Linked DNA regions of Diceros bicornis minor. The protein of the gene in region 1 interacts with the protein of each later gene in a biochemical or structural test. Links are inferred from orthologs where the notes say so. Each region holds a gene or a part of one and is shown on either strand. Other genes may lie near its edges. The genes, in order: CHML, RAB1A and RAB5A.

Region 1 (7,948 bases):
TTCTGAAGCATCTTTTCCTGGGGCAATTTAATTTTTCTTTCAGCGTGAGCTACCTGTTGGAAGTTCTTTTCTTTTAGGTGCCAGAGCAGGGCTCTGCAGAAATTTTCTGAAGTGTTAAACCAGAACTAATCTTATCCCCTAGATCTTCTTTGGAATGAGCTTCCCAAGAATGAGCTCTTCAACTACCAACTGAACTCTCCAACTCCGTAATGCAGAAGACTGTGGTGGCGTCACTGCCTCATTGGTTACAAGCATCAAGTAGGCGAATTAAGCTGCAAGATGTACTGTAAACATCAGACCTTCACAAATAAAGGATCATGCAAAGCTAATCTTTTAACAGTTACAAACAAATGTATTTTATCATACTGGCACTTGCATTAGTTGCTATTGCTACCACCTTGTCTGTATGTTTATATTATACATGAAAGATCCACAAAATTTACTGTGTTTCACTATTCAGAGGTGGTAGCAACTGTAATAGCTACAAAGTAATTAAAATATTCCTTAGATATTGTTGTTATTGTAGACAATAAAATCTGAAGATCATTAGCAGATACAATATTACCTTCCTTTAAGCACAGCTCCTAATACGGAACCCTCACATATATACCCAATACTAAAATAAAGCTAACCCTGTTTAAGATGCTGAATCATGGAGCCCATTCTGAAACAAACAGAAGTCCAATAACCAATAAATCAGTTACTGATAGGTTAACAAAGCGTCCAATGACTGAATGTCTCAAAGAGAATTAAAGACAACGTCTGCATAGCATTCATCATATAACCACTTCTAATAATTCATATTCTGATGTCAAAATGAAGGCCCAAAGTAGCCTTTCCAGTTTGCTCTTTTCTAATTTTGAAGGTGCTTTCCTGGGCTTTCTAGGTTTTTGCATTCCTCAGAGGATTCTAGTTTGGCAATTATTATATTTTTGGTTCCAGGAGCCTCTGGTTGCTTGTCATCACCATCAAAGATAATGTCGTCTGGATTTGGAGGTGGGGGGCAGAATTCTTCACTTGGAAAGATCTCCTGGAAAAGTGTCTGAGCTTGCCTGACTGCATGCTCATTTCCCAGTCCACAGTCAGGCCCAGAGCAGACATAAATGTTGGAAGGTAAGCCATTATAGGAGCTTCTGCTGATTCCTGAGGAATCTCTCATGTTAAAATACAGAGCCCACAAGAGTCTTGGCTTTGTAACTTCTTCCTTGTCTATTTCTGTTTCACCATATGGAATGAATAATTTCTTCACCACTGATTCTAAGTCCTCTCTTGCTGTTTTAGAAGATGAACAGGTCAGGTGTACCAGATAAGTGTCTTTCATGCATGTCATGGTTGAAGAACATAACTCAATGACCCGAACAGCACAAGTTCCTGGTTCTGCTGGAGGCACTATCAAAATGGAAATCTGTTGATCTGAATCTGTCTTTAGTATAGACTGATCTGTAATGAGCACTGCCCTGGAGATCTGCTTATAACGCACATTTGAGCACGTGTCCTCTGAAAGGTAACTGTCCTCCACAATAAAATATTTAGCATTTATTCTTTGGCCAAAGTGATCTATGATTGCTTTACATCTTCCAGACTCTTTGTCAACTACAAAGCATTGTACTTTATGGCGAAGACAATAGATTCCACCAAAAACTGCACACATCCTGCAGAAACACTGGGGAATTTCTCCTTGGCCATACAAGGGGAATAAGAAGGGGGTGTTTCCGAATCGTCCAAGACACTGAAGGAAGTTTTTTGTTGCTTTAAGGCCATCTATTGTAGTGCAAGATGACTCTGTCATTGCAATTGAGTGTAGTACAAAATGTTGGAGGCTGGCGGTTAATTTTTTAGTTTTTAAGTACTCTGAAAATGAGCATTGCATGAAAGCTTGGTATTCATCAGGGTGTTGTTCATAGTCTACACAAAATGTAAGAAATTTCATTAGCATCCTCTTTTCAACCATAGTGAGTGCTTTGCTATTAAAGACATCTGCTCTGGAACAAGGCACCTGTTCTACTTTTCCTTCTCGAAATGTAAGAATCCTAGTGACATTTTTAAATTCTGCATAATGACTAACATTTGATTTAATCAAAAGATCAATTAGTAATCCTTGAGAATATAGCAGCTTTGACACCAAATCAATATTAAATCTCCTGCCTTCTTTAACTATTTGAGAGTAAGTAATGCTATTTCTCTTTGGTTGATCAGTGTTGTCTTTCACTACAGGTTTGTTTTCATCTTTATCTCCATCTGAAACTGTGTGTATACAAGTTTTATCTCCACAATTACTTTCTTTCACTAGGGTTTCCTCTACATCAGTGACTTCTAGTGAAATCTTTCCAACATTTTTTGCAGTGTCTTTGGCAGGCATTTCATAGCTTGTAACATGGTGTGTTTCTGCAGCCAAGCATGCCGAATCTGGAGGTTTAGTGAGGGTACTGGACGCTTCCGAGGAAGGAGTTCTCTGTAGAGCATCAGTCTCTTCCATATTGTCATCCACATCCTGACTGGCATAACAAAACACTTCCGTGTGTTGAATGATTTCATCCTTCCTGCAAAGAGTGATGGCTGCTTCTGTTTCACGGATCAGGTCCTGCCACACAGCAGCACTTTCTTCCCCAAAGTCACTGTTTTGCTGACACTCCTTCAACCAGGAGAGCAACCCTGAAAAGCTGAAACTAGCCCAGTTTCCTCCATAATAACTTCTCGAATCAAGATGCAGAACCCTCTGACCACTTCTTGAACATGCGGCTGCAAGGATGGATTCAGGCAAACCCGTCCCTATTATGACCACATCAAACTCTGTCGGGAGACTGTCCGCCATCCTGGGAGGTACAGCGTCTGGTGACAGCTGCCGATGAAGGATATGTGTATGAGTCTCGGCTGAGGGCTCAGATGAGGTGTGAACAGGCTGTACTGAAAGCTCTCCTTGTGATTTTCCAGTTCATCCCAGAAGCATCGAGGTTGCAGGTCCTAGCTGTTTAACTGTTACCCTTTGTTAATATTTTTTTCTTATAGGTCAGTAGCATAAAAACACGATAAAGTACATCTAATCACATCTGAGAACACTAAAACGGATGTGTGGTTTTCATTTCTGCATTTCATCTTAGCAGTAAATGTCAAAATGCAATACATATGCATTTGTGACTGGAACTCTTCTCTGAAAGAAGAAAATTCAAGAAAGGATACAATTGTAAACGATATTAGGAGAAAAGTAATTTCATGCAACAGCAATCACAATCCACTGAAGCCTGGCTTGTTAGCAGGACACAAGCGTCTACCAAAGCAAGTCATTCAGTGCTTTCTCACCTATTTCCTAATTTCTTGAAAATGAACAATAGAGATACACCCCTCCAAATCAGCCAATTCAATAATGAAGAATGGACATAACAATGTCCCACAAAAATAAAGAAGAATGAACACAATGCAATTCTATAACTTTTGTTTTTAAGAAAACCAACATTTGAATAAAACTATACAGAGCTGTGAGCTTATCCTATATGTGTGGCTCCACAGTGTTTATGGAAACAGACTACATACTATGTGCACATTGTCATGATTAGGAATATTTCTGTGGCCACTACAGTCTGTGGGTGATTCCAGGACAGCTGATTTTTCCATGCCCCACCTACCCTTAGGATCTCGTGGTAGCAACCTGAGACCATTTCAACCGAATTTATTAGTCAGATCATTACAAAAGGATTAATTCTGTAAAACAACTGGCATTTTAAAATATTTAAGTGCATGAAAGAATAGGTCTACTGAAGGGAAAATAAATGTATTTATAACAAATCTTTACGTGAATGTTCATATGCACATGTATGTTTTTTAGGTGTAAGTTAAAAAGGAAAATTCCTGGGTTCATACGTTAAAATATCTTAATATAAATAATACCTACTTCTAACATTTGAATCACGTGGCTTGCATTTTGTCAGACTCTGGCTCTATGTCCCTGAATCTCTGTCTCCCAAGATAAAAGTCTGTCTAAACATCGTCTGCCAAGATTAACGTGTTGTTTGTCGTTCCTGTTTATGAAGGGGTAGGAGGTGGTAGTGAAGAAAGTCTCTCCTGTTAACTTCAAGCCTAACACTGGTTATATTCCATGTGCAGAACATTGGCGTGGTGCTAGGTGCAGCCAGAGAGGGAAGGGCCCAGGGGGTGAAAGGCATACTCACCTGGAAGTCTTTAGGTTAACGCACTCCGCACACCACATGCTGGGGGGCCTTCCTATCACTCATCACTGCCCAGGAAGGGCGAGAGCTCTCTGAGCTCTGATTTTCCCTACCATTAAACTTACTGAAATCTAGATCAGTATAAATCAGGCCCACCTAGGCTAAGATGACTAATCATCTCGGACATTTGTAAAACAAGCCATTCAATTGACTAGTTCACTGAACTGACTGGTCAGTTTAAGTGAAATGACAATCTTAACAGTCCTGTGTAGTCAGAGCCTCTGCCTCAAGAATATGAGGAATTCTACTTGTTTTCAGCATTCCCTGAGAAATCAAGAATGGAGCACAGAATGAAGGGGTTGCCTAGCCTACTGATACATGTATGTCAGTATGTTTGAATTGCTTATTCTGCCTCCTTACAGTAGGGATGCAGAAGACGGAACCCATGCGGGTACATGAAGAAGCGTAACCATAGTATGTGCTTATTCTTGGCTTAGAAGGGAATAGAGATGAGGGTGGGAGTAAGAGGAAAGGATACAAGCCATAAGTGCTAAAACCAGGCACCTTCTAACCTACAGATATCAGAGTCCTCAAAATACATAGCAGGTAGGACAAGATAACTTGAAAGAACATTTAGCTCAACTACCCCATAATAGAGATAAGAAAACTGACGGCTGGAGAGATTAAGTGACTGAGAAAGTCTACACAATGGGTTAGCCACAGGATCAAGACTGGGATCCACCCTTGTGCCATCAGGCCAGTGGTCTTTCCATTTGATGGGGCAGCCTATCCAGAAGCCTCTGGAGCAAGCAGCCACTTTTGACATCTGTTTATTTCTTCCCCTTCAATACTCCATGGTTGGTTAGTTCTTGCTCCGGGATAACAAAGGGGAAAGCACCCTCCCTTTCTTCATCTCCAATTCTCACCTAGAAGCACAATCCTTGGAGTTTACTCCAAGCAAAGAAATTCTTAACCTTTGCTAAGAATGTTTAAGCTCCATCATAACCCCCAATTGACTTGCCCCCAGGGCTTAAACAAGTCTCCTAATGGCTTACCCCAGAGCTTCCACCCCTAATTTCAAAGCAGGGATAAAGTCATGGTTGACAGCACTAACTAAACGCCCAGAGAAGTAGAGCAGTCATCAGGCAAAATACCCTGCGGTGAACGTTTCTAGCACTCTTAGAAAATCCCTCTGATGGGGACAGGATCCGAGCTGGGATGATGAAGGAGAGAAAAAGGATGGAAGAGACAGGAGACACAGCAGGGTGGGGTCGCAAAGGGAAGAGATGAGGAAGAAGGTGAATGCTGGCACTACTAAAGAACTCAATATACCCTTGTTTTCAAACTCCCAGGCACAGGGTTGGGACAGAAATAGAATTACCCAGCACAGAAAAAGCACTTCTTGGAAATAAGAACTTTCATGTCTGTGAACAAAACCTAAGGCCCATGTTAGGAAGCATTACTGATGACACTTTAGGCTTAAGCTTGCATCACCCTCTTTAAAGCTTAGCCCTGCCTAAAAAATGGCCTGATAGGTATTTTAAATTAATATAAAGAGTGTAATCACAGGGCCATCTTACATTACCACCACATACACATACAGCCTCCTCCCCAGTTTCAAATCTTTGTACAAATGAAATTCTCAAATTAATGCTTATTGGAGAGGGGGAGGTAATACTAGAATGTTAGAATCATTGAGGCAATCCAATAAATAAAATCACGATTGCTAAGACATTGTTTTGTTTCCTTCAAAATATCAAAAAATGAACCATAATGAATATAATATTTCAGTTTGTCACAACATAGGAGGTTGGTAAGAACATTTTTGATAATGCTACAAAGATTTTGTTCTCAGAAGCCTGCCAAGATAAAACCAGTAATAAATTATCAACGGATTTCACAATTTTTTTAAAAAACGAATTTTAAAACCTGAGAAATACACATTTCCATTTCAAATATTTGTATAAATGAAATTTCTGGAGCACACACAAAAAGATAATTTCTTCTGCAAGCTGAGAAAACCACATCTGCAATGATTCACTGGGTGGATGGATCATCCTTCAAAATGTCAAGTTTCTGTGAGACTTAAATTTCCCATAAGGATTAGCAGTATTGTTTCAATAACTCTTAAATTAACAATCAAGTTCTAATTTAGTGAAATCTACTGGCTGCACAACTAATTATTTGTTCATCTGAGTTGTTATTCTCTGAGCCATTTGTAATCTCACCTTCGATTTTTGTGTGCTGGAACCCACAAGGTGGAAAATGTAGTAAAAATAGCTTATAGGGCACATGCCAATTTGCATTCTGAGAACGTGAATGAAAAGATCTCACTTCCTAGGAAGCATTCAAAGGTTTACAACCGCTAATGAACAACGTTTAAAAAAAAAATTACACATTGCTACTCTGTTAGGTTTCTACTTCTCGTTTTTAGGAAAGCAACAGTGTATGAATTAAATCTCTTCTCATCACCCTCTCCACCTTTCTCGAGTTAATCACTTTGTCTTGAATCTCTTGACTCTAGAGTCCCTCGTTTCTTTCCTCCAAGTGTACAAGCCGTTGTTTCGTGCCCTGTTGGATCATATGAGGAGGTGAACACAGAGAAATGGATGAGCGGGACAGAGTCACGGAGGACCTGGAGCTACAACGGGAGCTGGGGCTGCAGGCTGGGCGGGTTCAGGGTCGGCGTGGGGGGGGGGGGGATGAGCGGCCCCAGGGATGGAGACGAGGGAGCGCGGGGCGGGAAGAGCTGCAGGAGGAGGAAGCAGCGGAGGGAGGCGAGGCTGGTGCAGGGGAGCTGGAGCGGGGAGGAGCGGAGGGCGGCCGGGTGGCAGAGGACGCAGAGACGGGGGCGATGCAGCGAGTGGAAGTTTGCAGAGGACAGCAGGACGCTCTCTCCCCCCAGCCCAACTCACCGAAGAGGCTGCTGCTAAACCCGTCCCACGCGCAGCCCACGGCGTCCCAGACCCAGCCGTTCCTCAGGCAGGACACGAAGGGAAAGGCGACCCCGAAGAGGGACAGCAGCAGGTCGCTGAGGCTGATGTTGACCAGCAGGAGGTGGGTGGGCGTGCGGAGCCGCGGGAACTTGGCGTAGAGGACGAGCACCAGCAGGTTGTTGCCGACGCCCAGCAGCCCGAGGGCGCCGAGCAGCAGCGCCAGGCGCTCGTAGGCGCCCGGGCTGAAGAGCGGCGCGGGGCTCAGCGTCCCCGCCGGGCCCGGCCCCTCGGCGCCCGCCGCCGCGCCGCCGTCCCAGGAGCCCTGGCCGCCGCTCCGGTTCCCCGCGTACATGGCCCGGCGCCGGCGCGCTCGGCGGGCGCCGCGCTCAGCCTCCCGCGCGGCCCGCGGCGGGCTCCGCACTGGGTGGGGCGCGGGCGCCGCCAACGGCGCGGGCCACGGTGCGCGCGGACCGCCTCGCCCCGCCCCTGCCGCGCCGGCGCCGCCTCGCTGCCCCGCCCCCCGCGCCGCCTCGCAGCCCCGCCCCGGCCGAGCCCCCGCCGCGCCCCCGCCCCCGGCGCCGCCTCGCTGCCCCGCCGCTCCTCGGCCCACCACCCCCCCCCGTAGCCTCTCGCTACTCCGCCCCCGGCGCCGCCTCGCAGCCCCGCCCCGGCCGAGCCCCCGCCGCGCCCCCGCCCCCCGGCGCCGCCTCGCTGCCCCGCCCCGGCCGAGCCCCCGCCGCGCCCCCGCCCCCCGGCGCCGCCTCGCTGCCCCGCCGCTCCTCCGACCCCCGGTGCCCCCTCGCTACCCCGCTCCCGGCACCGCCTCGCAGCCCCGCCCGGCCGAGCCCCCGC
Region 2 (7,832 bases), on another chromosome or scaffold:
ATCTAAAATCCTGTTCCTTCTGAGAGAACCAAACTTTTTGTCAAGAACCCATTTTCATTACCAAATTCAGCAGCATCCACAATTTTTAAAGTTTCTAAAAGGAATAACATAAATTCGTAGATAATAAACCAAAACAAGGAACATTTGGGGTGCACTTGTAAATATTAGCTAGTATACTATTCTTTTGCATTAGCATATAAATGTGTATGCTATAATACACATGTATTACAACATATAATATTATACCTGGCTTATGATAAGTGGCTATAAATGTTAGCTACGAAGACAACATCATGGAATCATGGAAAGGTACTCACTCATTAAAAGTTTTAATTTAAGAAAAATATAAGATTTTAAAGTTTAGAACAAGGTGTTAAATGGACTTATATTTGGGTGATAAAACCTAAGAATTTCTTTCCTTCTTTTCTCTATTTTCCAATTTTTCTCTAATTACTTTTATTATGGTAACAAGCTTCATTAAAGACAAAAAGAAGAAACTGCTGAAGTCAGATGGCTAAAAATCTGCCTGCTGGTTGCCCCTGTGACCTTCCCAAATAAAATATCCATCACCTCCTCTCATCTCAAGTAATTTTCACTAACGCTTTTCCAAAGGTTTTCCCAAATTCCTAGATTATTTTACCAGACACAGTCTAGAATATAAATACAGTAGCCCAGGTACTGGCATACTCCATGCCAGAAAAAATATAAAAATGATTCTGGGTTTGATTCTGTTGAGGTCATTAATCTAGAATCCTCAAACGAAAGGGTGGTTTGGCACTGTATTTACTTAAGAATTACTATCCTTGCCATTTATTAATCATTCTTCTTCCTTCTTCCCCCTTGAAAGATCCTCCTCACTCCCTTCTGCTTCTCCAAATCCATTGCTAGTAATTCTCTTACAGGTATCTTTTCTATAAAGTTTTCCTGAACCCAACTAGCCAACCACAACCCTCCACCCTCCTTTGAAATCTTGTTGCTCCAATCCATGCTGCACATGTGGAACTTGCTATATCTACTGGTATTTGATCTATATACAGTCTACTTTCTATATTCCATTATAAGCTCCTTGAGGGTAAGGATTATATTCCTAAATCCTAGCACTACTAGAATGTCTTACATGACATACAAAACCTAGAGTGCTCTTATAGTTTTCTAAATTCTTTTACAAACACTTGAACCTCACAACTACCCTGAGAGGAATAACGACTCCTACTACCTTATTTTACAAAAGGAGAAACAAATTCAGAGGCTAAATAATTTGTCGTAAGTCCTGTTCAATTAATCCTCAAGATCTATGTACAATACTAAATATATGTAGCAAATATAAGAAACTCCCTGAACAGAAGAGGTTTACAAACCTCCATAAAGTAGCACATCCACGTACTTGACTGTTGCCAGGAAAACTACTAAATTAGGGACCCCAAGTTCAACTCTGCCCAACTATGCAAAACCAATTTTGTTCTTGGAGCCCTTGACAAAGAAATACAAAACTGCCAAGATAGCAAATATGGCACTATTAGAATACTATCCTCAACTTCTTCAAGTATATAAAATTTTAATAAAATACTATAGCTTCTGTTTAGTACAAAAGGGGACATTTCAGCATCCAACCACAGTATTACAAAACAAAGTCAGAGTGCATTTTGCAAGAGCCATGTGACACACACATGACAGTCAGCTAAACTCATGGGTGGATCTTTTAGAGGAAATGTTTAGCAGTAATTGACCAAAGCAGCAAATAAACTCAACTTTCAGGACAAATACTGATTTTATGCTTTAAAAAAATTCCCCCTCTCCCCCAAAGCCTTCTGACACTGTAGTAGAATACCAGTTAAATCTCCTCTAATTATTCATTAATTTATATATGCAAACAGTAGGGGGATTTTTTTAAAGGGCCATTAAGGAGAGCTCAACAAAGTCTTCCCAGGGAAAGTGAACCCCAGTTCCTAGGAAAGGTGCCAGGTATATCACATCTGCTGTAGTGACTTCTTGAGTAAGCAAGAAAAAGAAATGCATTAACTTTTCATGACACGTCATGGAACCTCATTCCCTATCTGCAAGCATTCAAGTAGGTAATCCAAAACCTACAGATCTATCATGGGGTCCATTCGTTTCTCTGCCAACTTCACAGCAAAGTCTTCCTTTAATTTGGTGATACTATCAGAAAAGTGTTCCTACGTTTTAGTTCTATTTTTTTTTCTCTTGACCTCCACTAGACAAAATGACTTCAGTGTCCTCTATAAAAAATTCTCACAAATGCCCAGGTTTTTAGGAAGGCAACGGGCCTGGCGAGTTCTCAAAGAACTCCAGGAAATAATTCAAAAAGAGAACTAAACATTTTAAATTGCTTCTCGCCATCTACTCATTCCCCTCAATCCCCCGCAGTCCTGAAAAGCATCCATATTACCTGCAATCTGGCGGGGAGAATGGAAGGAAAGAGAGCCAACAAGCTCAGGATTTACAAGTGAAGCTGGTTTCCACCCCGACGATTCTGACAGCTCCGCAGAGTGCGGGAGCAGAGACTGACAGTGCCCTCTAGGAGTGCTCTCCCACCCTCTCCCCTCCCCTTAAAAACAAGTCCTCCTTCAAAAGTCACTGCCTCCAAGAGAAGCTGCCTCTTCCCATCACCTCACTACCGACTCCCAAAAGCCCCAACCCCGCAGCAGACTGTTCCTCTGCCCCGGGCCCGCACTCAGGCCCTCCAAACTGACCCGGTCCAGGCCCAGGTGACTCACCCCTCCGGCCCGACCCCTCCCCCGGCCGCACCTCCTCCCTCAGACAATGGGGCCTGACTCCCGGCCGCCAGCCTCTCCTACCCCATCACCCTCACCTCATCCCGGCCGAGGCCCCTACTCCCGCCCCAGCCCTCCTCGCCCCCTTTAAGCTTTCCCAAGGTGGCCCACCGACCCAGCCGACCGGTGCTCTCCTGCACTCACTATTCGGGATTCATGCTGGACATGTCACTGCAGCTGCCGCCGCCGCCACCGCCGCCCTTGCTGCTGCAGCCGCCGCCCTGACTCTCTGCACCACGGGTAACCAAAGGAGAGGAATAAGATAGGCTGTTCCGGGAGAGCAAACGTCTTCCCCAACTCCGTCCCCTTAGAACACAATCAGCAGCCGCCGCCACTCAGCTATCGCTTCCACCCAAAATGGCCGCCGGCGAACCAGGAAATAGGAAAGCCTTAGACCGAGGGGGTCTTTACAGAGCCCAGAGGGCGGTCGCACCGCGTGGCATGCCGGGAAAGAGAGTTGTGAGCGTGGCTGTCGGCTCTTGGGACAGACGGTGCGGCGCGACGGCCGGGACTCCATTTCCCGCCAAGCCCCGCGCCTCTGGTGCATGCGTACTTGAGGGGTTGTCGCCCGCCCCATTCCCCACTCTCTCACCACCCCCTTCGCCCCTCCCAGCTCCCCTCCCCGCTGACTCGCTGGCTAGGACTTCGCTCGGACTCCCCCTAGCGGATTGGCTAAGGCCGAGCGGCCCTGGTGATGTCATCAGTGAGACGTGGCAGCCGGGCGAGTCAGCGCCCCACGGGGGAGGGGGGAAGGGAGGGGCAGAGGGCGGTGCCAGCCGCCGAGGGAGAGTAGGGGTGGGGGGAGATCAGGGGGCTCCGAGGGCTGGGGACAGAGGGAGCTGTGCCGGAGGGACGGCATGAATGCGGAGGTCTGGAAGCAAGTGGGGCTGGAGGACACTCCTGGCCGGTCCTGCCTCCCGTGGGCCTTTTGCTGGTCTGGCCAGCTTGAGGCTTGAGCTTAGCGGCTGGTACCAGGACGTCCGCTCTAAGGACGGAAGAGGAGTCAGGGGCCTGGGCTGAAAACTTGGGAGTCTCTGGATAATATGAAGCCATTCTTGGGAGTCTCTGGATAATATGAAGCCATTCTTTCAGTTCTCTTCCTCACTCACCCAGCCCCACTGGGTCCGGTCGTCGGCCAGTGTTGGCCGCAGGCAGTACCATTTTCTTTTTTGATTTCTTACCGCTCTCTTTCCAGCCCTGCTCTTATCGCCTCAGCCCAGTATTGCAGTATCCTTTGAGTGGGCTAACTGCCTCTTTTTCCTCTCTGCCCCCGGCCATTTGCACACACAGGCAGATTGATCTTCCTGAAACAGCATTGTCATCACGACCCCACAACTTTCAATGGCTCCACTTTCCGTCCACGGAACACAGCCCAGAGTCAGTCAAAAATTCGAGGTCTTCCTGCCCTGGTCCCAGCCTTCAAGTTGAATTGTACTTATTTTTATAATTTTTATTTATTTTTTTCCTCCAAAGCCCCAGTAGATAGTTGTATGTCATAGCTGCACATCCTTCTAGTTGCTGTATGTGGGACGCGGCCTCAGCGTGGCTGGAGCAGCGGTGCGTCGATGCGTGCCCAGGCCGGACCAGGGCCGCCAGCAGTGGAGCTCACGCACTTAACCGCTAAGCCAGGGGCTGGCCCATGAATTGTACTTATTTTTAGTTGATATTTAATACTGAGCTGTTCTGCAAGATTGGAAAGTAATAAACGATAGAAATGTGTGATTCATCACTATATAATGCCTAGAAACTCCAGGAGTAATATGAACATAACATTTTTTAAAACCTTATGGTCTAAACAGCTCTCTTTAATCAGCTCAGGAATTTAAATCTCCACTAAACTTTAACACATTATCTTGGGTTATTTAATTACAAAGGGCATAGTATAATACATTGTCCAAAGTTTATCTTCCAACTTTTTCTAAGAACCAAGAAAATTATCTCCCAAGAGTGATTGCAAAATCACTTTAAATTCCCGTGATGCCAAAATATGGAAAGAAGGCAGTTCTTATTGCTACCCATTTACTAACTACACCCCTTAACCCCCAAATTCCACCATGTGCCTTGGTTGACAACTTCATCAAACAGTACAGTAGAGTTCCTTCACATCATGTTGGCTTCTGAAATGAGCGGGGTCACCACACCACGGTGAAGCACCTTGAATGGATCGATGATAGACATCGAAAAGTGTGTATTACCCTGGACTTTTGTCCTTTCCTGCTTGTTGTGATTTCACAGAAGAAACACTCAGAAAATCTCCAAAGAACTCATCCTGAGCCAAAACTACAATTTTTAACCTGTCCCTGCCCTTGGAGGTATACCCCTAAACTTCCTCTAATTACGTATTTCCTTTCCCAACAAAGAATTACCTCCTAATAACTTATAACTCAAGTGAGAGAGTGGTTGTAAGAATTAAATAAAACAGATTATAAAGCATATAATACTATGACTTTTGGGGCACTTGGTAAAGGCTAATTACCTTTCTCCTTCCCTTAACTTCTCCGCCTTGTGTCTTAGTTATGGTGCTGTAATATGCAAGAAGATCAGAGGCAGCCTAGCTTGCGGGTGGCGGGTGTTTGTTTTCTACCCCGGACTACAACTCATATGTTATTTATATTAAGACTTCCTTCCCAAACTTCAAGTGTCAGTTTTGCTGATTCAAACTTTAATATATTTTTTTATGTTTAGGTGTTTAAGAGCAGCTACTTTTATAGTTCAGATTAATAACTCAGAATAATTTATTAAACTACCACGAGCCTTGTTGGCTGCCCTATCGTTGAATCAAAACTCTCCTAGGGCTGTTTGTCCATCTGTCCTTTGGCTTCCTTCCTTCCTTTCTTCCTTCCTTCCTTCCTCCCTCCCTCCCTCCCTCCTTCCCTCCCTTCTTTCCTTCCTTCCTTCTTTCCTTTTCCTTTTCTTCCTTTTTTTTTGGGGGGGGGTGGTGAGGAAGATTGTCCCCGAGCTAACATCTGTGCCACTCTTCCTCTACTTTGTATATGGGACACCGCCACAGCATGGCTTGACTAGCAGTGTCCACGCCAAGGATCCAAACCCACGAACCCCGGGCCGCTGAAGCGGAGCACGCAGACTTAACCACTACGCCACCAGTCTGGCCCCATCTTCCCTTTTCTTTAAATCAAATATTTATGACCTGGCACATAATAAATGTGTTTGGAACTTGTTCTTGGAACCATGAGAAATACAAAGGTGAATAATTACAACTTTCTGTCTGCAAGGAGACTACAACCCAGTGAGAGAAAGATGTGTCCACAAACAAGACCTATATGGGAAAATGCAAAAATAAATTAAAATGATATGAGGTGTATAAGGACAGTAATAAATTCAGTGATTGCCAAGAACTAGGAATGGGAGGAGAGAATTGTCTACAAAGAGACACAAGGGAACTTTTTGGTTTGATGGAAATACTCTATATGTTCATTGTGGTGGTGGTTAGTTACTCAACTGTATATGCTTGTGAAAACTCAGAACTATACTCCTAAAAGGAGTGAATTTAACTGTATATAAATTTTACCTCAATTATGAACCTGACATTAAAAAATGAACAAGGTAGGGGCCGGCCCGGTGGCGCAAGCGGTTAAGTGCGCGCGCTCCGCTGCGGCGGCCCGGGGTTCGCTGGTTCGGATCCTGGGCGCGCACCGACGCACTGCTTGGCAAGCCATGCTGTGGCGGCGTCCCATATAAAGTGGAGGAAGATGGGCACAGATGTTAGCCCAGGGCCGTCTTCCTCAGCAAAAAAATAAGAGGAGGATTGGCGGATGTTAGCTCAGGGCTGATCTCCTCACAAAAAAAAAAAAAAAAAAAAAATGAACAAGGTAGAAGTACAGAGGAGGGAAATAATTCCAATTCAAACCGTTGAGAGTGCTTTCATGAAGGAGACGGTATTTGAATTAGGCCTTGAAAAAGAATAAAATTTTGATCATTGGCAGAAATGGGGGAGAGGGAGCCATTTATCCTAGAATGACAAAAGAATGTGAGCATAACCCTAGAAGTGTGAAGATATCCATGTGTTTAAGGAATAGTGAACAGAGGTTCCATGGGAGATGAGTTGGGAGATGTTTAGGTTAAGGTGAGATCATGGGGAGCCCCAAATGCCTGCTAAGGAGTTTCAACTTGATTCCGTAGCAGCAGAGAGTCAAGAAAAGTTCTGAGAAGGAGAGTGAGGTGTTCAGCTCAGTGGTTTAAAAGGAGCACTTTGGAGTTCTGTGGAGACTGGAGGTAGAGAAATTAGTTAAAAGGTAACTAGAGGGGGCCGGCCCCGTGGCTTAGCGGTTAAGTGCACGCGCTCCACTCCTGGCCGCCCTGGTTCGGATGCCGGGCGCACACCGATGCACCGCTTGTCAGGCCATGCTGTGGCGGTGTCCCATATAAGGTGGAGGAAGATGGGTGCGGATGTTAGCCCAGGGCCAGTCTTCCTCAGCAAAAAGAGGAGGATTGGCATGGATGTTAGCTCAGGGCTGATCTTCTTCACAAAAAAAAAAGGTAACTAGATTCATTTAGGCAAAAGATGATGTGTCCTGACCTAGGGCAGTTGCATAAAGAATGGAAAGGAGAGGAGATTCCAGAGAGGAGGAGATAGAATCTGAAGGCGTGAGGGAAGGGAGGAGCTAAAAGTGACCCAGAGATATCCAGTTTCCCTGCCAGCATGGGAACCAAGGCCCAGCAAGGCAGAAAACAGGGGACAAGGGGCCTGGAGTGGGGTAGAGAAGGAGGAAGGTAGACAGTGCTATGTGGTTCAAGGTCAGGGTTAAAGCTGCCCTCGTGTGGAAGTACTAGAACTACCAGAAATTGTCCGTCTGTCCTTCTGAATCAGCACAAAAGACGGAAGACTGTCAAAGATAGACAAAGCCAGACACTAGTTAAAGCTGTGAGGATAGATTTCATTCAGTAATAACTTGCAGTAGAGAAGAGGGCCCAGTGTGAACTGAACTCAATGTCACTGAAACGAAAGATAGACTTTTTAAGAGCTGGGGTGTGCTGAGGAAAAGGCATTGAGGAATGTTAAGGGGGTTGGTCCATGTGACT
Region 3 (8,029 bases), on another chromosome or scaffold:
GTTGAGTTTCAAAGCCAGGAGACCCGAGAGGTGACTCAAGAGTTCAGGTTCTGGAGCCAGACTACATGGGTTAAAGCAGTTTTGAGGAAAATTATGTTAATAAGTAGAACAGATCCTAGAACAGAGTAAGAACTCAATAAATGTTGGCCATTATAATCTGAAGGCCTCCGTTAAATGGTACACGTTCAGGTCGCCCCGTGGCTTAGCGGTTAAGTGCGTGCGCTCCGCTACTGGCGGCCCGGGTCCGGATCCTAGGCGCGCACCGACGCACCGCTTCTCTGGCCATGCTGAGGCCGCGTCCCACATACAGCAACTAGAAGGATGTGCAGCTATAACGTACGACTATCTAGTGGGGCTTTGGGGAAAAAAAAGCAGGAGGACTGGCAATAGATGTTAGCTCAGAGCCAGTATTCCTCAGCAAAAAGAGGAGGATTAGCATGGATGTTAGCTCAGGGCTGATCTTCCTAAAAAAACATATATAAATAAAATAAATGGTACATGTTCTTTGTTTAATTAATGGTAATTTTGGAGCAACAAATATTTAAAGGCTCCCAAGTTTGTGTCTAGTGGCTATAAGACAGAATTGTTTCCTCATGTGCTCAAGTACATCATACAGGCAAATGATAACCATGGTTCTCTTATGTGGTGAGCTTATTAGTGTCTTATTTACTTATACTTTTCTGTAGTTTTGGGGCTATGTCATTATTTTGTATTTAACACATTTAGAAGAAACTAGCCGGAATGGCAACTTGTGTGTCTTCTCTTATCATTATCTAATAACGCTAATTTTCAATCTCAAAGAAATTAGTAAACATTTAAAGAACTCTTTTCCAATCCATTCACAAACCAATCATAATAGTTTTCTCCTATCTTTAATCAAAATCTGATCATGGGCTTACTAATAATATTAAATCTGATGATTCTCTCCCTAAAATCACTGTTATGTTTCATTTAGGAACCTGATATAAGCAAATTTGCCTTCCCCACGAAATGAGTTTATACAAGAATTCCTCTTGACCATGAATTCATTAATAAACCTATCCATGAGGCCTTACATTCTCGAGACAATAAAATCACCTCTGCCTCATCTAAACAGCAGCTTTGAAGAGTCCTTATCTTTTAGTAATACATACCAAAATACTTAACAGGTGAAATGATATGTCTGAGTTGCTTCCAAACAATGGGAATGTAAATAAAACAAGACTGGCCATAAGATAATTGAAGTCAGGTGACAGGTTCATTGCACTATCCTCCCTACCTCTGAATATTTAAAAAATTTTCCATAATGAAAAAACGCTACAACCCCCATATCTATCCTCCCATCCCCTTCAAAACACACCAGATTTGGGGATACAATCCTGGCTGGCTATACCAATTTCTGCTGGAACAAGTGCTTTCATTTCCAAATCTCTACTTCCAGAATACCTAACTTACATAGCTGCTGTGAGAATTAAATGAGAGAATATATGTAAAAACTCTCCAATACAGTGGTCAACACATAGTAGGGATTGAAAATTGGCAATTAAAGTGGACCGTTGATGAGATAATGAGCAAATATCAACAGAATGTCACGTAGATGAAAATGCACCAACACACCTTTAGATTACATAGAACAGCAATTGAAACACTTCCCAATTGTCTGATTACCTACAAACAGTAAACTAAATTACTCATCAAGGACAATATACTCCGAATTTCCATGGTACTTCCAAAATTTCAGGGAAAACATCAGATTCCCATTAAAAAAAATTACGAATTAGCTTTGCCTTTTAAGGTTTAAAGCTATTGGATTATGGTTCCTCCTAAGGCTCTCAAACAGAAAATAAATTTAACTATACATATATAGTTAGCATAACATTACAGTTAAAAAACGCACATTTGTATTCACTATTGAAACTTCTCTATTTTGCAAAACAAGATTTTCCATAAAACGCATTTTTAATCTTTTGAAAATAACTGGTATTCTATAGTTAAAGTCCTTCTGGGTGCTCTTTGATTAAAATTGCTTTAATAGCAGCAAACATTTACTAGATACTTCTGTGCCAAGCACTATTCTATGAATTTTGCTTACAACAACCCTATGAGCTTATATGATTATCCCCATTTTACATTATGAATAAAGTTTGTGAGCTGTCCTGAATTATCAATGGTGTATACGTGTTTTTTTCCTACTAGTTATGCGAAAACCAACTGATTCAACACTGTGACTCCACTTAAGCAAAAGACAAAAACCAAATATGTGAATTACGACGTTCAGAGCTTAAAAAGTCTCAGGGGGGTAAGCAGCTTCCAGGAAAGAGAACAGCAGAGCAGGTTTAATGGTCTCTACCCACTGAGGGTGTTCAGCGGCCTAGCTGTCTTGAGTTCTTCAAAGCTGCGGTTCACCACCTTCCATAGATGAGACAAGAGTCTCTAGACAGCCTATTTTGACGAGCCTCCTCCTCCTCCCTCCATTAGCCATCTCTGGAAGTCGAAGGCAGGCGGAGCTCCCCAAATTCACACCTGCCGTAGGCCCCGGTGCCTCCTTGGAGATCACCTGAGCAACTGACACCAAACTCCGGATCGCCTGAACGAGCAGGATCCGCCAGGCCCCCTGGCCATCATTCCCATTCTCCTCCCCTGAACCTGGCCTGGCTCTGGCTGGGACCCCCCAGGGCTGCCAGGGCAGGAGCCAGGCGGGACCGCGGCCTCCAATACTCTTTCACGGCGCCATCTTGAGAAGGGAAGAGGGTGACACCCGTCGCTCCCGCAGCCAGTCCCCAAATCCTGGTCTCCAGAGCCCCTTGAAGGATGAGTCACCAGGCCGGCAGGACGAGACGCCGGGTTCGACAGCACTCCGGTCCAGGACACCCGCGCGCGCGAGGGAGAAGGGGCGGGGGGCTCGGGGCCGGCAGGGCCGCGGACAGACTGGGGACCGCGAAGAACCCGGGGTCCCGGCCCGCTGTGGGCAGGGCGAGGGACGGTCTGGTTACCTGAGGCCGCAGCACGCGGAGCCGCGGGGCTGAAGCTTCCCGGCAGCAGGTCACAGGCGTGTCCCGAGAGGAGGCCGAGGCTGTGGCTTTGGCGGCGGCGCGTCTCCTCGCGCTGCTCCCCTTAGACTGGACGGTGCGGTGCTCGTGCCGTGGTGCCGCCCCCGTCGGGCTCCGTCTCCGCCTCTCTCCGCTCCGCCTTCCTCTTTCCTTTCTCCTCCGCCGCCGTCGCCACCGCCACCGCCGCCGCCGGCGCTCGAGTTCCGACTAACTCTTCCTCCTCCTCCCTCCTCTGCCTCCTCCCCACAGGCCGGCCGCCGGGTCCTTCGCAAACCAAAACACAAACACTCAAGTCCCAGCGCGGGAGCCACTTCCGCCGCCCGGCGCCGACCTCGCCGCCACGTCGCTGCACGTAGCGAACTACGCCCCTTCGTCACTTCCGGTCGTCACCTGTCCGACCGCTCCAACCGTTGCCCCGCCCCTCTCAAAGCCCTCCCAGCGGGGGCCAGTTCGCGGGGCGGGGCTTGTCACGTGACTCCCGGGCAGTGGGCTCGGATCCCGCCGCCTCCCTCCTCCCTCCCTCACCCGAGGCGCGCGCGGCCCCGCCCCCGCCGGCGCCATTGTTATCTGGACGGCGGTCTTGGCCTCCTGGCGGGAGGGGCGGGGGGGAAACTCCATTACCGCCTAGCTTTCGGGGAAGCCCCAGAGATCTTGGGTTTGTTGCTTCCAGCGTACGTGGGGCGGCGAAGTTCCCTCTGTGTATATGAGCTCACAGTTCCCCGTACCCTACCCCGCGACATCCCAACCCTGGTAACTCGCCTAAGGGGCTTTTTTGAGGGGACTTTTCTACCACGAGAGAGCCCCCCAGCGTGTCCCTGTGGATGGTTGGGTCGGTCAGGGCCGGTAAGTGGTGTTTACTGCGGGGAGGAGGATGAGACCCTCCCCATCCCAAAAGTTGTCTTTAGGCGGGGAAGTCTTAAAGTAATAACATGCTTTTATTGCGAGTTTACTTGTTTTTGGTGGGGAGGGGCAAATCCTAGAATAATAGCTAACTTCATTCAGAGTTTCCCTTCACGGGTCCTGCACTTTACAGGAATTATCCCATTTTATTCTTACACCATGAAGCTTTCACTCTGAAACTAACTTCATCGTCTGCCTCCCTGCATTAGAATGTTAACTCCCCAAAGTGGTCCTCACCGCTGTCTGATTAGCACAGTGCCTGGCAGCCAGGAGTCTTAAGTCATGGTTGTGGAATTAGTCAATGAGGCGTGCCTGTTTTACAGGTAAAGAATTTGAGGCACAGAGATTGAGTAATTTGTGCAAAATCATCGCGGAGTTGGTGATGAAATTGCATTCTAACCTGCAGGCTGGCTCCAGAACCTGAGTGCTTAAGCACGACTGCAGTGAAAAACAAGCCATTAATTATCCTCCACTGGAGACCTATATAAGACAGGCTTCTTTGGTTAAATCTCACACGATAGACAGTCTCTGACCAGGCATCTGAAACAAAACAAAACAAAACAAAAATTCGTTTTGTAACTTGGTAGAATGTTAAATTGATTTTCCCTCAGGATAAGGGCTACTTTTCAATGTGCAGTTTACCGTTTATAGCCCTGTTGTGAGGACATCGATATGGATTGTCTACTATGTGTACTTGGGGTAAGGTATCTTGTTGGTGCTCAGTCAACATTATGTAATGAAGATGATTTAAACCCTTGAATAGCCAGTCTTTCAGATCAACTCCCTAGTTACTAACCAGAAGAGCATAATGTGTCATACATAAGTGGTATCTGTAGCACTTTATCCCCAGGGGTTGTTCCAATATGATGTGTTAGTCATGGTAATACCTCTGGGACAATCCTAGGAAGAATCAGGAAATAGGATATGTCACATCAGTTTTGGCATGTCAACAGTATGTCCAAAACCAAACCTATTCCACCCCAAACCTGCTTCTGCTTGGTGACTGGTATTAATAGCCTCCCAGTCACATGGGCTTGAAAGAGCAGAATCATCTTCAACTCGTCCTTTTTTCCCTCTTAAACCGTTGTCCATTCTATCACCCAAAATTCTCTAATCCCTAAATCTGAGATGTAATCCCAAAGCCTGGGCCCTGATAGTATTCATATAAACTGGAATTAATACATGCTCCTGCCTCTTCTATCCGTTCTTTATGCTGTAGCCAGTCACTCTCCTACTCAAAAATGTTCAATGCTATCTCATTACTTGCTAAATACAGTCCAAAGTTCTTCAACTCTAGTCCCAACCCACATTTCTTTCATTCTGTTTCTGTAGCCTCCCTCTATCCCAAACTCCTGCTTTGTGCCCTAATCATACCAGTCTACTCTGTGTTCCCAGAATGTTGCTTGTGTGTTCTCATCTTGGTGTCTTTGATCGCTTTGTTTTCTCCACTTGGAACACCATTACTGCCTGTCACTGCAGGTCTCACCTTAGCCAGGATGCCAACTCCTCTGGACCACATCTGATGATACTTCCACTGGATTTAGTTATCTTTTTCCTATAGTTTCATGATACTTTGCCTTACTGTCTATAATGGTTCTAATATCTGCCTTATTTTACAGTTAGAGAGTGCCTAGACTTTTCTCCTTAGACTTTCATTCCCATTAGGATTTTAAAGTTCTTGAGGGCTTGGACCATAATTTAATCGTCAATTCCTCCAGAGGACCTTTGATTCATATAATAGGGACCCCAAAAATATTGGTGAACTTAATTACATTTAGAATGGTGAACGTATGACTTAAGAAGACCTAACAAATAACACATGGATGCTGAAATTTGTAAATTGCTGGAAACTTCCCATTTCATTGTTCTAGGATATTGCTTCCTCATTCATTTCTTTCTACCAATTTTATCTTTTAATTCACCTCCTTCATGAATACATTCCACTATATTTTATTGTTTAGTCATAGTGTTTGCTTGGGAGGGTGCTGCTCCAGTGGCTAGCACCTCTAGAATCCTGTGGTAATTTTGGAGAGATTGAAATGCCACAGTAAGCTTTGCTCTTGTATTGCCACTCACAATATGCCTGTGTTTTTTCCTAACTCCAGATGACTGAGGACTGATAATTGTATATATTTTAGTGGGAAATGTGGGATCCTACTTGTTGATAGACTAACTATAAAATGGATGGGCCCTAAATAAAGTCATAAAGACTTGAACACTGTTCTTAGTGCTTCCTTTGCCCTCAAATCTCTAAACACCCACTCACAAATTCCCAGCAGTTTGCATCTCTCAATCATCCACTGCACCCCCTATCTTCTACTTTCCCTTCCAGGAAATCTTTCCTCCATTGTGTAGTTGAAGAATGAGTCTTTGCCTCGGTGGTAAGGAATGGTAACATTTTGACTGGAGACAAACCAAAAGGTAATTCTAACATAAAGAATCGTAGGCATGATGACAAGACGCTGAGAAAAATGCTGTGGAAACTTGAGCTAGTCATGTTTAAAAAGCATGTCTCTGCAGGGCATCATGCAAGCTCAAATGTCACCTACCTAAGGGACTTCTAAGCCCCCCAATTCTAAAGTAGCTTCCCTTTACATCAAAGCATTGTTTTCTTCATAACACTTATCACTATGTGAAATGATCTTATTTATTGGTTTACTTGATGGTTACTTATACCCACTAGAATATAAATTCCATGAGATAAGGATTGGCTTATATTCCACTGTATTCCGAGCACTGACACAAGGTAGGGACTCAATAGCTATTTGTAAAATGAAAGAATTGAATGAACTCTTATACAAACATACCTTGATTTATACACTATCAAGTCATTTAAAGTGATTAGGGTGAGAAGAATATTTATATTAACTATCTAGAAAATTACACGGTTTTTACAAATGTGAAATAGTATCCTTATCACTTTTAAAATTTTTGGATTTTAAGTTTTTCATAGAGTTCTTAAAAAAATTGGATTCCCATAAATTCCATTCAAATTCTAAACTAGGTGTTCTATGTCTCCTGTATGTATAGAACATGACAAATATTCACCAAACACGCTCTCATTAAAACCTGACAGAGGTGTAACCCCAATTTAAAGAAAATCTCATACTTAAAAACATTAAGTTTGAATTTGCCACAATATTTTAAAAATTCAGTATGCATTATTGTGTAACACATCTCAAACTTTAATATATTTACTTTAAATGATATTTAAAGGCTAGTTATTAAAGTATGTGTTCTCACAGATTTGAACATGTTTCTATACCACAGCTGCCAAATATAACTTTACAGAATTTAAAGTAGTTTTTTAGGGCTTTTAAACTACATGCAGTGTACATGTACTTGCACAAGGAAGGACCTAAAATTAGTGGCCACCACCAGAAAAAGGGTTATTTATTCCCTGATCACCGGTAAAATGAATCGGCCACCGGCCAGGAGGAAGCCCATGGATGAACCCATCCTAAGAGGATTGCATTGCTTGGGAAACTAGAGAGAAGTTGGTGAGCATTTGCTCTAGTGCCGAAGACCACATCCTTCAAGTTTTCTTGATCTCCAAATCTGGTAAAGAAGGGGGGAAAAGTGACAGAATGAGAGAGAGGGAGAGAGAGAAAGAGGGAGACAGAGAGGAAAGGGAGAAGAGGAGAGAGAGAAACGGACGGAAGAGAAAGAGGAAGAGATGGGCGGGGATCTGCTCGGGAGAGAGAATTGCACGCCAAGCGACGCCCCTGTTTCCCAGGTAACCGGGTAAACAGACCTCCAGCTCCGTTTTCCCTGTGAGCTTCGCTAGGTGTTAAGTAGCGGGCAGGGAGTTCGAGTGGAGATGTGCTCTTTCGTGAGAGTTGGGCCCCCTCAAGGAATTGGGAACTTCCCTCGAGCCAGGTACAGCTTTCCCCTTAGAGATGAGTGCCCTTGAAGGAATGAGAGTGTCTGAAAGGAAATCTCCCCTGAGCATGAAGGTCGGCCTCACCCACGAAGGAAAAGATGACTTAAGAGAGAGGAGGGTCTTTATGGAAACAAAATCTCCCACGGAGTTGGGGTTCAGAGTGGCATTAGGAAAAGAACATTCCCCATGGAGCGAGAGCCCCTTGGTTAGTAATAAA

The links.
Region 2: the proteins of CHML (region 1) and RAB1A form a complex in vitro, tested with the Homo sapiens proteins (2 studies listed by BioGRID). The link is inferred for Diceros bicornis minor from reciprocal best matches to the Homo sapiens genes CHML and RAB1A.
Region 3: the proteins of CHML (region 1) and RAB5A form a complex in vitro, tested with the Homo sapiens proteins (2 studies listed by BioGRID). The link is inferred for Diceros bicornis minor from reciprocal best matches to the Homo sapiens genes CHML and RAB5A.

What each region holds. Positions count from the first base shown.
Region 1 is NC_080777.1:3,502,474-3,510,421, reverse strand, and holds the start of CHML (rab proteins geranylgeranyltransferase component A 2), read right to left. Parts: upstream 3,108-7,948; 5' UTR 2,813-3,107; coding exon 854-2,812; 3' UTR 1-853. Other genes in the region: OPN3 (opsin-3), read right to left, coding at 7,076-7,448. UniProt on the Homo sapiens protein: Substrate-binding subunit (component A) of the Rab geranylgeranyltransferase (GGTase) complex. Binds unprenylated Rab proteins and presents the substrate peptide to the catalytic component B.
Region 2 is NC_080751.1:22,658,815-22,666,646, reverse strand, and holds the start of RAB1A (ras-related protein Rab-1A), read right to left. Parts: upstream 3,165-7,832; 5' UTR 2,960-3,164; coding exon 2,937-2,959; intron 1-2,936. UniProt on the Homo sapiens protein: The small GTPases Rab are key regulators of intracellular membrane trafficking, from the formation of transport vesicles to their fusion with membranes.
Region 3 is NC_080741.1:25,753,845-25,761,873, reverse strand, and holds the start of RAB5A (ras-related protein Rab-5A), read right to left. Parts: upstream 3,059-8,029; 5' UTR 2,973-3,058; intron 1-2,972. Other genes in the region: EFHB (EF-hand domain-containing family member B), read left to right, coding at 7,829-8,029. UniProt on the Homo sapiens protein: The small GTPases Rab are key regulators of intracellular membrane trafficking, from the formation of transport vesicles to their fusion with membranes.